Saccharomyces cerevisiae S288C: one gene and its partner. The protein of the gene in region 2 interacts with the protein of the main gene of each other region in a pairwise test. Each region holds a gene or a part of one and is shown on either strand. Other genes may lie near its edges.

Evidence for each region. Proteins that work in one complex are often made in the same cells at the same time.
Region 1: the proteins of PEX34 (region 2) and PEX25 interact in a two-hybrid assay, tested with the Saccharomyces cerevisiae proteins (one study listed by BioGRID).

What each region holds. Positions count from the first base shown.
Region 1 is NC_001148.4:334,225-342,685, reverse strand, and holds PEX25 (Pex25p), read left to right. Parts: upstream 1-4,065; coding exon 4,066-5,250; downstream 5,251-8,461. Other genes in the region: GDE1 (glycerophosphocholine phosphodiesterase), read left to right, coding at 1-1,618; CAR1 (arginase), read right to left, coding at 1,741-2,742; YPL113C (glyoxylate reductase), read left to right, coding at 5,543-6,733; GTPase-activating protein BEM3, read left to right, coding at 7,200-8,461. UniProt on the Saccharomyces cerevisiae protein: Required for regulation of peroxisome size and maintenance. Has a role in the import of peroxisomal matrix proteins. Imports RHO1 into the peroxisome. Also promotes peroxisome division and biogenesis.
Region 2 is NC_001135.5:24,637-29,355, forward strand, and holds PEX34 (Pex34p), read right to left. Parts: upstream 2,724-4,719; coding exon 2,289-2,723; downstream 1-2,288. Other genes in the region: PRD1 (metalloendopeptidase), read left to right, coding at 132-2,270; KAR4 (Kar4p), read left to right, coding at 3,293-4,300. UniProt on the Saccharomyces cerevisiae protein: In concert with the three peroxisome divisional factors, PEX11, PEX25 and PEX27, controls peroxisome morphology and abundance under conditions of peroxisome proliferation. Maintains mature peroxisomes in actively dividing cells.

The DNA of each region.
Region 1 (8,461 bases), on a different chromosome or scaffold from region 2:
ATTCCTGGATAATAATGAATCACTTATACTAATAACATTGGGAAGTAATGACACAAGAAACAAAAGCCCTTCAATTTCATTAAGCTCGGAAGCACTAGCAAAAGTTATTGGGTTGGAAACAGATTGTGCATTATCGTTAGTAATTTCATGCAATGATTCAATTGATAAATCTTCTGTAATCTTAGATTTACCATTAGATGATAATGTGGACGCAGTAGACTTCAAAGTGCCTTTCAAAGTTGATTATTCTCATACATTATATTTTGATATTGTGCCAACATATGGAACACGCTCGTTGGAGACCCATAATAGAATAGATTGTCAAAAAAATAACAATAATTACGTAATGGCAAGGGGTGTTTCCATGTTGAATAAGTCGTACAGCTCAGTGGGAGTTAATAGAAGTATATTAAATGGTAGCGTGACGGTCCCCATCATCGCTAATCATACACTGGAGATACTTGGGACGCTGAAATTTGAATATATTATTATCACACCATTTGAACATCCACAACTGCCCTTAGAAAGAACAGAAACGTACTGGAAATCCTTAGTGTCCACTCGTGTTATAGGACATAGAGGCCTGGGTAAAAATAATCCTAATAAATCATTACAAATTGGAGAGAACACAGTCGAGTCTTTCATCATGGCAGCCTCATTGGGAGCATCGTATGTAGAGTTTGATGTTCAGTTGACGAAGGATAACGTACCAGTGGTATATCACGATTTTCTCGTAGCTGAAACAGGTGTCGATATCCCCATGCATGAATTGACGCTGGAACAGTTTTTAGATTTGAACAATGCCGATAAAGAGCACATTCAACGTGGAGCAGGTCACTCACCTCATCATGTAAATGGAGCAGATACAGCACTACAAAAATATAGAGGGCGTTCGGTAGATGATTCAGACGTTAGTACATTGAGGAGAGCTTGGGATTTACACGACAACGACCCGAATGGGAAGTCCAACAATGCTCATTGGTCTGACAATCGAATGAGGCTAACCAAAACATTTAAAAAGAACAATTTTAAGGGAAACGCTAGAGGACATTCAATAGCTTCATCATTTGTTACCTTGAAAGAACTATTCAAGAAAATCCCTGCCAACGTTGGGTTTAACATAGAATGTAAGTTTCCCATGCTTGATGAGGCAGAAGAGGAAGAGTTAGGGCAAATAATGATGGAAATGAACCATTGGGTTGACACCGTGTTAAAAGTAGTTTTTGACAATGCGAATGGTAGGGACATCATTTTTTCGTCATTTCATCCGGATATTTGCATCATGCTTTCGTTAAAGCAACCGGTTATTCCGATCTTGTTCCTGACGGAAGGTGGAAGTGAACAGATGGCCGATTTGAGAGCCTCATCGTTACAAAACGGTATAAGATTTGCTAAGAAGTGGAATTTATTGGGGATTGTATCTGCTGCAGCACCCATTTTAAAGGCCCCACGGTTGGTGCAAGTGGTTAAGTCTAATGGGCTGGTATGTGTCACTTACGGTGTGGACAACAATGATCCCGAAAATGCCAGTATACAAATTGAAGCAGGTGTAGATGCCGTGATCGTCGATAGTGTATTGGCAATTAGACGTGGGTTAACCAAAAAGAATGAAAAGTAACGAAGATACACTACTTTTATTTTTAATTTATTTTCTTTTTTTGTTCGTAAATTTATGTATGCATGTGCTTAACTAAAATAAAAAGAGAATGCTTATTTTGATAAAAGGGATGATGATATAAACTACAATAAGGTTTCACCCAATGCACACCTTGCAATGGCGCAACCTGCAGAGATGGTGTTTGAAACATGGATATCATGAATAGCCAGATCAGGGTTACATTCAACAACGTCTAGCGCAATTAAATTACCGGATTCGGCCAATCTTTCCACCAAGAAAAGACCTTCTCTCAAGGTCAACCCACCTCTCACTGGAGTACCTGTAGCAGGAATGTATAATGGGTCTACACCATCGACGTCATAGGAGCACATAATGGGACCTTCACCGTTTGTTTCTGGGTGCACGGCTTTCATTGCCATTTCAATGACAGCGTTGATGCCGTATTTGTCAACGTGGTACATGGAAAAGGCGGCGATACCCAGATCTTTCAAGATTTTCTTTTCTCCGGCATCAACATCTCTCAACCCAATATACGCGATCTTTTTTGGGCTCAAGTTGCCTGGAACCCATTTGAGCGACTCGGGACAATGTGGGACATCCTTGTTCAAACCCATTAGGAATGACACGGGACAGCCGTGCAAGTTTCCAGAGGGGGTGCTTTCTATGGTGTTTATATCAGCGTGGGCGTCTATCCATAAAAGACCAGCATCGGGGTATTTGTCCAAAACCGCGGATACAGTACCAATGGCTATTGAATGATCACCACCCAAGGTCAAGGGGAATCTGTTCGCCTGGACCACTTTCGACACGGAGTTGTACACCAACTTGGTGGCTTCACCAACCAAATCTGCTCTTTTAGCCTTGACACCGTCTATCATAACAGAGGAACCCCCAGTTGTGGAGTCCTTCTCCATTTTCAACTTTCCCACAAATTGGGCCTCGTCCATTGAGGGCTCTAATTCCGTAGACCAGCCCAAATCCTCTATGCTTGTTTGCAGACCATGCTTAAGCATGTATTTAGGGCCCTTCTCGACACCAAGCTTACCCTGACCGCCGCTGAATGGAGCCAGAACGATGGACAATTCGCGATTTTTGTAGTAGTTGTAATGAGGTCCTGTTTCCATCTTGATAGTAGTTATTGTTATTGATATAGTTGTTGTTGTTGTTTCTGCTAACTTTGAGAAAACATATACAGACCAAGAGAAGAGAAACAGTCTTAGATCTTGATAGAAAGTGGGCCGCAAGCTCTGCTTATATACTCTTTAGACCCCTCGGCGGCTACCGCTAAGTGAAAAATTCAGCGAGCGGCGATGCGCTGTTGATTGCCATTAGCAGCACGGTGCTTTGCGAAGGGCAAGAGCTAGAGACTATTCGCACTAGCCGATATTTTCGCGGCGTCTCGGCTTCTTGTAAGGGATAGAAAAAAACTGTTAATGGAAGGAGCAATCAAAGGGCGGGGATCGCGGGCGACGGTGCGGCATCGAAAAAGTGAAGAACCAGTAAAAATAGAGGTGGGGTTTATCAGTGTTGATATCTAAGTTTATGATAAACATTGATGAGTCAGGGATTGCACCCGTAGTTCATCCGTATGATGTGATGTTGTTTGTTTTTGTTTCATGTAAGGTTGCTAGAATAGGGTCCTGTCAGACAGTATGCGTAGCTTTACCATCATTTCGCCGCTATATGTGAAGGGCCGTAAATTGGATATACGGTATGTAAAAATCAGCGGAATATTATGATGAGAAGTGAGAAAATTGAAGTCAGTAATCTTGGATATTCAGAACTGTCAATCCTCAGTTTGGCCAATTTTATTTAATTTGTTAATAGCAGAACTTACCGGGCGGTCCAGTTTTGCCTACACGGTTTGGTATAAAGTTTAAAAAGCATATATACGAGCTAGATGAAGTATCCAATAGAGTTTTTCTCACGATGGTATTGGAATAGCTTCCTTGAAAGGTAACTACATACAGTGTCGAGGAAAAATAGACAATTACTTAAAGGAGTAAATGTTACTATACCTGAAAGAAATTAAGAGTCGCCATGCGTAGCAGTAATCACAACCGACATCGGGGAAGAGTGAGGGGAGCAAATTGGATGTAAATATTTTGGTGAATTTGCTCGGTACGCGCTAAACTCACATGATTTAGCAGCGCCGTGGCGCAGTGGAAGCGCGCAGGGCTCATAACCCTGATGTCCTCGGATCGAAACCGAGCGGCGCTAAATTTATTTTTTTCTTTTTACTCTTCATTTTTTTTCCAGGTCGGTGATAGTATATGAAATTCCGGTGGGATTGGGCTTATTATTTCAGGTTATATAATTTTTGAAATACGTTTTTCTTCTTTCTTCTCAGAATCATCGGTAATTTGTATGCTGGAGAAAGTAACAAATAGAGTCGATATCCTCAACTTCCCTGTAAGTCTTCACCTATAGAAACTGGTCGTAAAACAATGAGTCAGTTTGGCACGACAGATATCGTTTCCGGTTCAGAAACACCACCTTATTCTGGGGCAAGTTACCAGGACGCCCAGGATGACAATACCCATCCACATTCATCAGACGCCGGTGCAGAGAAGTTCAGTGCAGGCAGTGGAAGCGAGTCGCATACTGAATCCTCGAGAAGTGATGATGAGGATTCTCAAGCAAAAACAAAGATGGTGGATAATATTACCATCTTAAAATATATATTGGATTCTCTATCTGGTAGAGACAAATTAGCCAAAATTATCAAATACGCTCTGGATATATTAAAACTGTTTATCGAAAAGTCTAAGCGAAATTTAACTGTTTTGGACCCTTCCGTATTAACGTACTATACCAAGATTTTGAAAAATCTGACTGTAAAAGTCGCACTAAGGCATCCAATCACGGTAATTAAAGTACTTCTCCTGTCTCTTTTGAGAAATTTTGACAAGAAAATTGATTTTATCAGTCAACAATTAAGTACTTTTAGATATATTTTAAGGTTTGGCGGCACACCATTCCGAGTGTGCAGTTTCTTGGGGAAATTCAATAAAACCAGAAAGTGCAACTTTCAAATTGACCAAATTAAGAAAATATGGTTTAATGAAGCTTCATTGAGAGAATTTTTGGACTTGTATTATGGTATCTTTGATGAATTAGACTTGCTATACAAATTGAAAATATGGACAAATAAATCATTCTATTCCTTTGTCAGTAGACAAGAGTCTCTTGCATGGCAATACGACATTCTTTTAAGCTTGAAGGACCATTGGCTCAACCTGCAAAGCTTACAGAAGAGACAATTAGAATTGGAAGTGCAACTAAAAGTTCAAAATAACGCGTTACTACTCTCACCCATACTGATGCATCAGGCCCATAAAGACGATGGCTCACAATCGCCAATTAGGAAACAGTTGTTAAATGACCTAAATGTTAATAACGACGCAGAGGTGTTAATACACAAACAACTAAAGGCCATCAAGGATGAAAAGACACTTGTTTATTTAGATATTGCAAGATTATCGTTTGATTGCATGGCTAATACATCAGATATTCTAAATTTAAAAACTCCAAAGGGAACGTATGCCGTTCTGTCCCTGGGATCCGGCTTAACTGGACTGGTTAAACTTTGGATAACAACAAAGAGGTCACTTTGCTCTTCAAAAGATTGATATATAAAAATATGTATACATATAGATATGTACATATATATGTGGCGAATAATGTTTTACCTCTGCATTTGTATTGTTATTTGATTCGTTGAATAAGATAGTTTGGCGCTCGGTTTTTGCTCTTTTTCTTCCGTTTTTATGTCATTGGGGTGGCGGTAGTCATTCCGTTTTACGGTATGTTTATTCTGACACTTTGACGCAGATCTAAAAGGTGGAGTGTGGAGTACAAATAGCTCTCTCTCAAATACAGAAAAATACTTGAGTGTACAAAAGTAGCAACCTTTAAATAACAATGATTACTTCAATTGACATAGCAGATGTAACTTATTCTGCCAAACCAAGAATTTTGGTGCCTTATAAAACCCAATGGGAAGTCGCCAGTCATCTTCCTGAATATCGCAAACTGGCAGAAAGGGTAGAATTCTATAAATATGAGATGTCCACAAAGGATGATTTTGTTAAATTTTTGGAAACTCATAGAATAAACGGCTTTTGGCTCACTGAGGAGTTTTTCACTGTGTTAGGAAACCCTTCGAGTTATATTGAATTCTTCCCCGCATCTTTAAAAGTAATCCTTGTACCATGGGTCGGCTGTGACTTTATTGACGGTAAGTTATTAAGATCGAAAGGTATCACTTTATGCAACATTGGACCACATGCTGCTGACCATGTCACAGAATTGGCTATTTTCCTAGCAATTAGCTGCTTTAGAATGACTTCATTTTGGGAATATTGTTTTAAATACGTGGAAAATGGTAATGTTGAACAGTGTAAGAAATATATCTCTAGTGACTCGTATGAAATTGTTACAGATAGTTACCACGGTCAGGAAATGAAATTTCCCTCTCGAACAGACAAATGCAAGCCTAACAAGGATAGGAAAGTGGTACATTTAGCAGAAAAGTACACGGTTGGCGGGAAAAAAATGGAATCTCCAATGAATAAAAAAGTTCTAATATTGGGGTTTGGCTCCATCGGACAAAATATAGGGTCTAACTTGCACAAAGTGTTCAACATGAGCATTGAATACTACAAAAGGACCGGTCCCGTCCAAAAGAGTCTACTTGATTACAACGCTAAGTACCATTCTGATCTAGATGATCCAAATACTTGGAAGAATGCGGATTTGATCATTTTGGCCTTGCCCAGTACGGCCTCTACAAACAATATTATCAATCGTAAAAGTTTGGCCTGGTGTAAAGATGGTGTCAGGATAGTTAACGTTGGGAGAGGCACATGCATAGATGAAGATGTGCTACTAGACGCTCTTGAATCTGGAAAAGTGGCAAGCTGTGGTCTCGATGTGTTTAAAAATGAGGAAACACGCGTTAAGCAAGAGTTACTTCGCAGATGGGATGTTACAGCTTTGCCACATATCGGCAGCACAGTTGCCGACATGGTCATAAAGCAGACACTCATCACACTCGAGAATGTGCAGGACATATTTGTCGAGGGAGGTGATGGTAAGTATGTGCTCAACTGAACCATTCATTATGTTACAAAGATAGCATTTCAATTAGGATTACATACGTATATGCATTGCTCTTTATACCACAACTCTAAGAATGTCGAAAGTTATATGGCGGCGGTGATGTTGGAAAAAAAACGCGGCCGTTTTATAAAGAACAATAATCGTCTGACTAGGTAAAGTACCAGATAAGAACCGTTTTTATTGCGCGTATTGGTATGTTTTTTAAACGGAATTTTTCAAGATTGTTAAATACATCAACGATATATCCATTTTAATCACCGTTTACCTTTGTGTGTTAGCTTTGTATCTGGAAGTTTTTTCTCTTTTCTTCTTTGTCCTTGCCTTCTACCATTTTGCCTTTTGTTCGAGTTCGTGATTACATCAGGCATATACAACATCACGTTTGTTGAAACACTGGCTGCTAGGAGTATCTGTGTGTATATTCTAGAATAAACTCACACTCAACTAACAGCACGCAATGACAGATAATTTGACCACAACTCATGGTGGTAGTACCACCCTTGAATTGTTGGCGCAGTACAATGATCATAGATCCAAAAAGGACAAATCTATAGAACATATAGAAAAAGGAACATGTTCAGGAAAAGAAAGAAATCCGTCCTATGATGAAATTTTTACGGAAAACATTAAGCTAAAGCTACAAGTCCAAGAATATGAAACTGAAATTGAGAGTTTGGAAAAGGTTATTGATATGTTACAAAAAAACAGAGAAGCTTCCTTAGAAGTTGTGCTTGAGCAAGTTCAAAATGACTCAAGAGATTCATACGTTAACGATCAATCATTTGTGTTACCCCCAAGATCTGCTGAAAGGAAAGCGCATATCAAGAGTCTTAATTTGCCAATACCGACATTGTCCCCTCCATTGCAACAAGGTTCAGACGTTGCACTTGAAACAAGTGTAACGCCTACAGTACCTCAAATAGGTGTTACATCAAATACTTCAATAAGTAGGAAGCATTTACAGAACATGATACTAAACGATGAAATAGAAGCAAATAGTAGCTTCTCATCTCCCAAAATTATCAATAGATCTGTCTCAAGCCCTACAAAAATACATTCAGAACAGTTGGCTAGCCCAGCTGCCTCTGTTACCTATACGACGTCTAGGATAACCATAAAATCACCTAATAAAGGTTCGAAATCTCCATTGCAAGAACGTTTGCGTTCCCCTCAAAATCCTAACAGAATGACGGCTGTTATCAACAACCATTTGCATTCTCCATTAAAGGCCAGTACCTCTAATAATTTAGATGAGCTGACTGAAAGTAAAAGTCAACAACTAACTAATGACGCGATACAAAAAAATGACCGCGTTTATTCTTCTATAACATCCTCTGCATACACTACTGGAACTCCTACTTCAGCAGCCAAAAGTCCATCATCCCTTTTGGAAGTCAAGGAGGGTGAAAACAAGGCTTTGGGTTTCTCTCCAGCATCTAAAGAAAAACTTGACGACTTCACCCAATTACTTGACTCCTCATTTGGCGAAGAGGATCTAGTCAATACGGACAGTAAAGATCCTCTGTCCATAAAATCCACGATTAACGAATCTTTACCCCCACCTCCAGCGCCTCCAACTTTTTTCTCACCTACTTCTAGTGGAAATATAAAAAACTCTACTCCTTTATCAAGCCATTTGGCTTCTCCGGTTATCTTGAATAAAAAGGATGATAATTTTGGTGCTCAAAGTGCAAAAAATTTAAAGAAACCTGTGTTAAC
Region 2 (4,719 bases):
GTATCGCGCTGCACGAGCGTGACGGCGGTTAAATCTGGATTTTTTGCCACCTTTTTTATACGAAAATAAGAACTAGGTAAATAGGAAGGAATGGTTGGATTTGAGTTTAAAAATAGAGGGAATACTTGGAGATGCGATTGTTGCTGTGCAAGAATTGGTTTGCGTCACCTGTAATCTCACCACTACTGTATACCCGCTCCTTATATTCAATGGCTAACACTACTAGTTTCCCTATTGCTCCCCAGGCCCCGCCTAATTGGTCGTTCACTCCCAGCGATATTAGTGGGAAAACCAACGAAATCATCAACAACAGCAACAATTTCTATGATTCTATGAGTAAGGTAGAGAGCCCTTCCGTGAGTAATTTTGTGGAGCCTTTCATGAAGTTTGAAAATGAATTGGGCCCAATAATTAACCAATTAACTTTCTTACAGCATGTGTCGTCTGATAAAGAAATTAGGGACGCATCTGTGAACTCCTCAATGAAACTGGATGAGTTGAACATCGATCTATCTCTGCGTCACGACATCTTTTTGCAATTCGCCCGCGTCTGGCAGGATGTTCAATCGAAGGCAGATTCTGTGGAAAGAGAAACTTTCAAATACGTTGAGAAGTCTTACAAGGACTACATTCATTCTGGTTTGGAACTTGACGAGGGAAACCGATTGAAAATCAAAGAGATCAAAAAGAAGATCTCCGTTAACTCTATTAATTTTTCGAAGAATCTGGGAGAACAAAAGGAATACATCACTTTCACCAAAGAACAATTGGAAGGTGTGCCGGATTCTATTTTGACGCAGTTCGAGACAATAAAATCTGACAAAGATAGCAATGAAACCTTGTATAAAGTCACCTTCAAATATCCGGACATTTTTCCCGTGATGAAATTGGCATCCTCAGCTCAGACTAGAAAGCAGGCCTTTTTGGCCGACCAAAATAAGGTCCCTGAAAATGAAGCTATACTGTTGGATACATTGAAGCTGCGTGACGAATTGGCCTCGTTATTGGGCTATGACACGTATGCGAACTACAACCTGTATGATAAAATGGCTGAAGATAGCACTACGGTAATGAACTTTTTGAATGATTTGAAGGACAAGCTAATTCCGCTGGGCAGAAAGGAACTACAGGTCTTGCAAGATATGAAAGCCGAAGATGTTAAGAAACTTAACCAGGGTGCAGATCCAAACTACTACATTTGGGACCACCGTTACTACGATAACAAATATTTGTTAGAAAACTTCAATGTGGACCTAGAAAAGATTTCTGAATATTTTCCACTAGAGGCTACGATTACTGGTATGCTGGAAATATACGAAACATTGTTTAATTTGAAGTTTATCGAGACGAAAGATTCTCAAAACAAATCTGTTTGGCATGACGACGTCAAACAAATCGCCGTTTGGAATATGGATGATCCAAAGTCTCCAAACTTTGTTGGTTGGATTTATTTCGATTTACATCCTCGTGATGGTAAATATGGCCACGCTGCCAATTTTGGTTTATCGTCATCATTCATGATTGATGACACCACAAGATCGTATCCGGTTACTGCGTTGGTTTGCAATTTCTCCAAATCTACGAAGGATAAACCTTCTCTACTGAAGCATAACGAAATAGTGACCTTTTTCCATGAATTGGGCCATGGTATCCATGACCTGGTGGGACAAAACAAGGAATCGAGGTTTAATGGCCCCGGATCTGTTCCATGGGATTTTGTGGAGGCACCTTCCCAAATGTTAGAATTTTGGACTTGGAATAAGAATGAATTAATCAACCTCTCATCACATTACAAAACGGGCGAAAAAATTCCAGAATCTTTGATCAATTCATTGATCAAAACTAAACACGTAAATGGTGCTTTATTCACTCTAAGACAATTACATTTTGGGTTATTTGATATGAAAGTACATACTTGTAAAGACTTGCAAAACCTGTCAATTTGCGATACCTGGAACCAATTGAGACAGGATATTTCTTTGATTTCTAATGGTGGTACGTTATCCAAGGGTTATGATTCATTTGGCCATATAATGTCAGACTCTTACTCTGCCGGTTATTACGGTTATCTATGGGCGGAAGTCTTTGCAACTGATATGTATCACACCAAATTCGCTAAGGATCCGTTAAATGCCAAGAATGGGATACAATACCGTGATATTGTGTTGGCTCGTGGTGGCCTTTATGATATTAATGATAATCTGAAAGAATTTTTGGGTAGGGAACCTTCTAAGGATGCTTTCTTGAAGGAGCTGGGCTTACAGAACTAAATTCGTTCAAGCATAAAATTATACAATTATTCTACAAAGTGTTATTATGTTAGATAATCTTTTAAATAACCTCGTCCCTGGATAGATTAAAACCATTAAATAGCTCAAATCTTGGAGTAAAGCAGCAGTAATATGTCTGATATGTTCGTTATATTTTTTCTTGAAGTTTATCAACTTATCCTTTACTAGACCATTTCCCTCCCCATCCAATCGTTGATCGATTTTAAATTTCACCTTGCATAATTTTATTAATTTCCATACACATTTTATCACTGAAATGCACGAGTAACACAGCCAAACTTTCCGTAATAGCCCACTTACATATAACTTATCGTTGACCACGCCTAGGTTTTCCAATACTGCGAAGAAATCAAGCAGCGAACTTACACCACTCCATATATTCTCCCATATATCTTTTGCACTGATTTCAGCCGTATTTTTCTTCGAAACCATTCAACTTTCTTTTCTTCTTCCTTTACTTTTATTCATCTCCTCTTTACTTCTTACCTCAGAGTCGAACATTGAAATCATTTCCCGCGAATTTTTCGATTATAATTACCCTTTCTACTTAACAAGAAGCAATAAGAGCAAAGGGGCGAAATGCTTGTCCCATACTTTGGCTTTTGGATGTGACATTAGGAGCCTTATCTCCTCTTAATGCCTTAAGTCAAAAAATAGTTTTTGGGATATATCTTGTGATCAAATGCTTTGCAAAAGGGTAAAACAGCGTTTACAATAGGATAGCCAAAAGTAAAAAAAAAAAAAAAAAAAAAAAGAAGGAAGTTAGTATCGAGCTCAAACAATTTTAGTTTTGCTGGACATATTTTCAGTTTCATTACTGTATATTTGCAGCTTGGTTTTTGTCGCTCTGTAGTCTTGTTTCACACTTCGTCATTTCCGAGTTTCATCTTGCGACATAACTTGTTTCAACTTTTCAAGTGCGACTTTTTGTTAAATATTATGACATAGAAGAAAGTAGAACAGCCATTATAAAACAAAAGAGAAGTGAGAATACTATTAAGATGGCATTCCAAGATCCAACTTACGACCAGAATAAAAGCAGACACATCAACAACAGTCACTTGCAAGGGCCAAACCAGGAAACAATAGAAATGAAATCTAAACACGTATCATTCAAACCCTCTAGAGACTTCCATACAAACGATTACTCGAATAACTACATTCATGGGAAGTCGCTACCGCAACAGCATGTTACTAATATTGAGAATAGGGTTGATGGCTATCCAAAACTTCAGAAATTATTTCAGGCGAAAGCTAAACAAATAAATCAATTTGCCACTACGCCATTTGGGTGTAAAATCGGAATAGATTCCATTGTTCCAACGTTGAATCACTGGATACAGAACGAAAATTTGACTTTCGACGTGGTGATGATTGGCTGCTTAACAGAAAATCAGTTTATTTACCCAATTTTAACCCAATTGCCATTGGATAGATTGATCTCCAAACCAGGTTTCCTGTTCATCTGGGCCAATTCTCAAAAAATCAATGAACTTACTAAACTTTTGAATAATGAAATATGGGCTAAAAAGTTTAGAAGAAGTGAAGAATTGGTTTTTGTTCCTATTGACAAGAAATCACCGTTTTATCCAGGTTTAGATCAGGACGATGAAACGTTGATGGAAAAAATGCAATGGCACTGTTGGATGTGTATCACAGGTACAGTAAGGAGGTCTACAGATGGACATCTTATTCATTGTAACGTAGACACTGACTTGAGTATCGAAACGAAGGACACCACTAATGGTGCTGTACCATCCCATTTGTATCGTATTGCAGAAAACTTCTCTACCGCGACTAGACGATTACATATTATTCCTGCAAGGACTGGTTACGAGACACCCGTCAAAGTAAGACCTGGCTGGGTTATAGTGAGCCCAGATGTTATGTTGGATAACTTCTCACCCAAGAGATATAAAGAAGAGATAGCTAATTTAGGTTCGAATATCCCATTAAAAAATGAGATTGAGCTGTTAAGACCAAGAAGTCCAGTACAAAAAGCACAATAAAGCATCAACACATAAATCCTTGCTTAGCTCAATTAAATATACTAGTAAATAAGTATATAAACAATAATTTTGCATTTTATTTTACTGGAAACTCTTCTCAAAACCAAATTGCGCAAGGATTGATTCAGTACAATTATGCAAACTCGAAAAGTAAATAAACAAAAAGATACAGTTGAGTGAAAGGTAAATAAACATTATTCTACTTGATTTTCCTCTGTTTTTTCCATTTTTCTTTTTTGTCTTTTCGTGTTCTAGCGTGTTCACTTTTTCAGCCATGTAATTACTTAAATAGGAAGTTTACACGATGTTCTCGCATAAAAAGCTGGAAGTGCAGAACAAAGAGGAAGAAAATAGGAACAGAGAATTTGTTTGTTTATTTGTTTGTTTGCTTGTTTGTTTGTTTGTTTTGATTTGAAGTC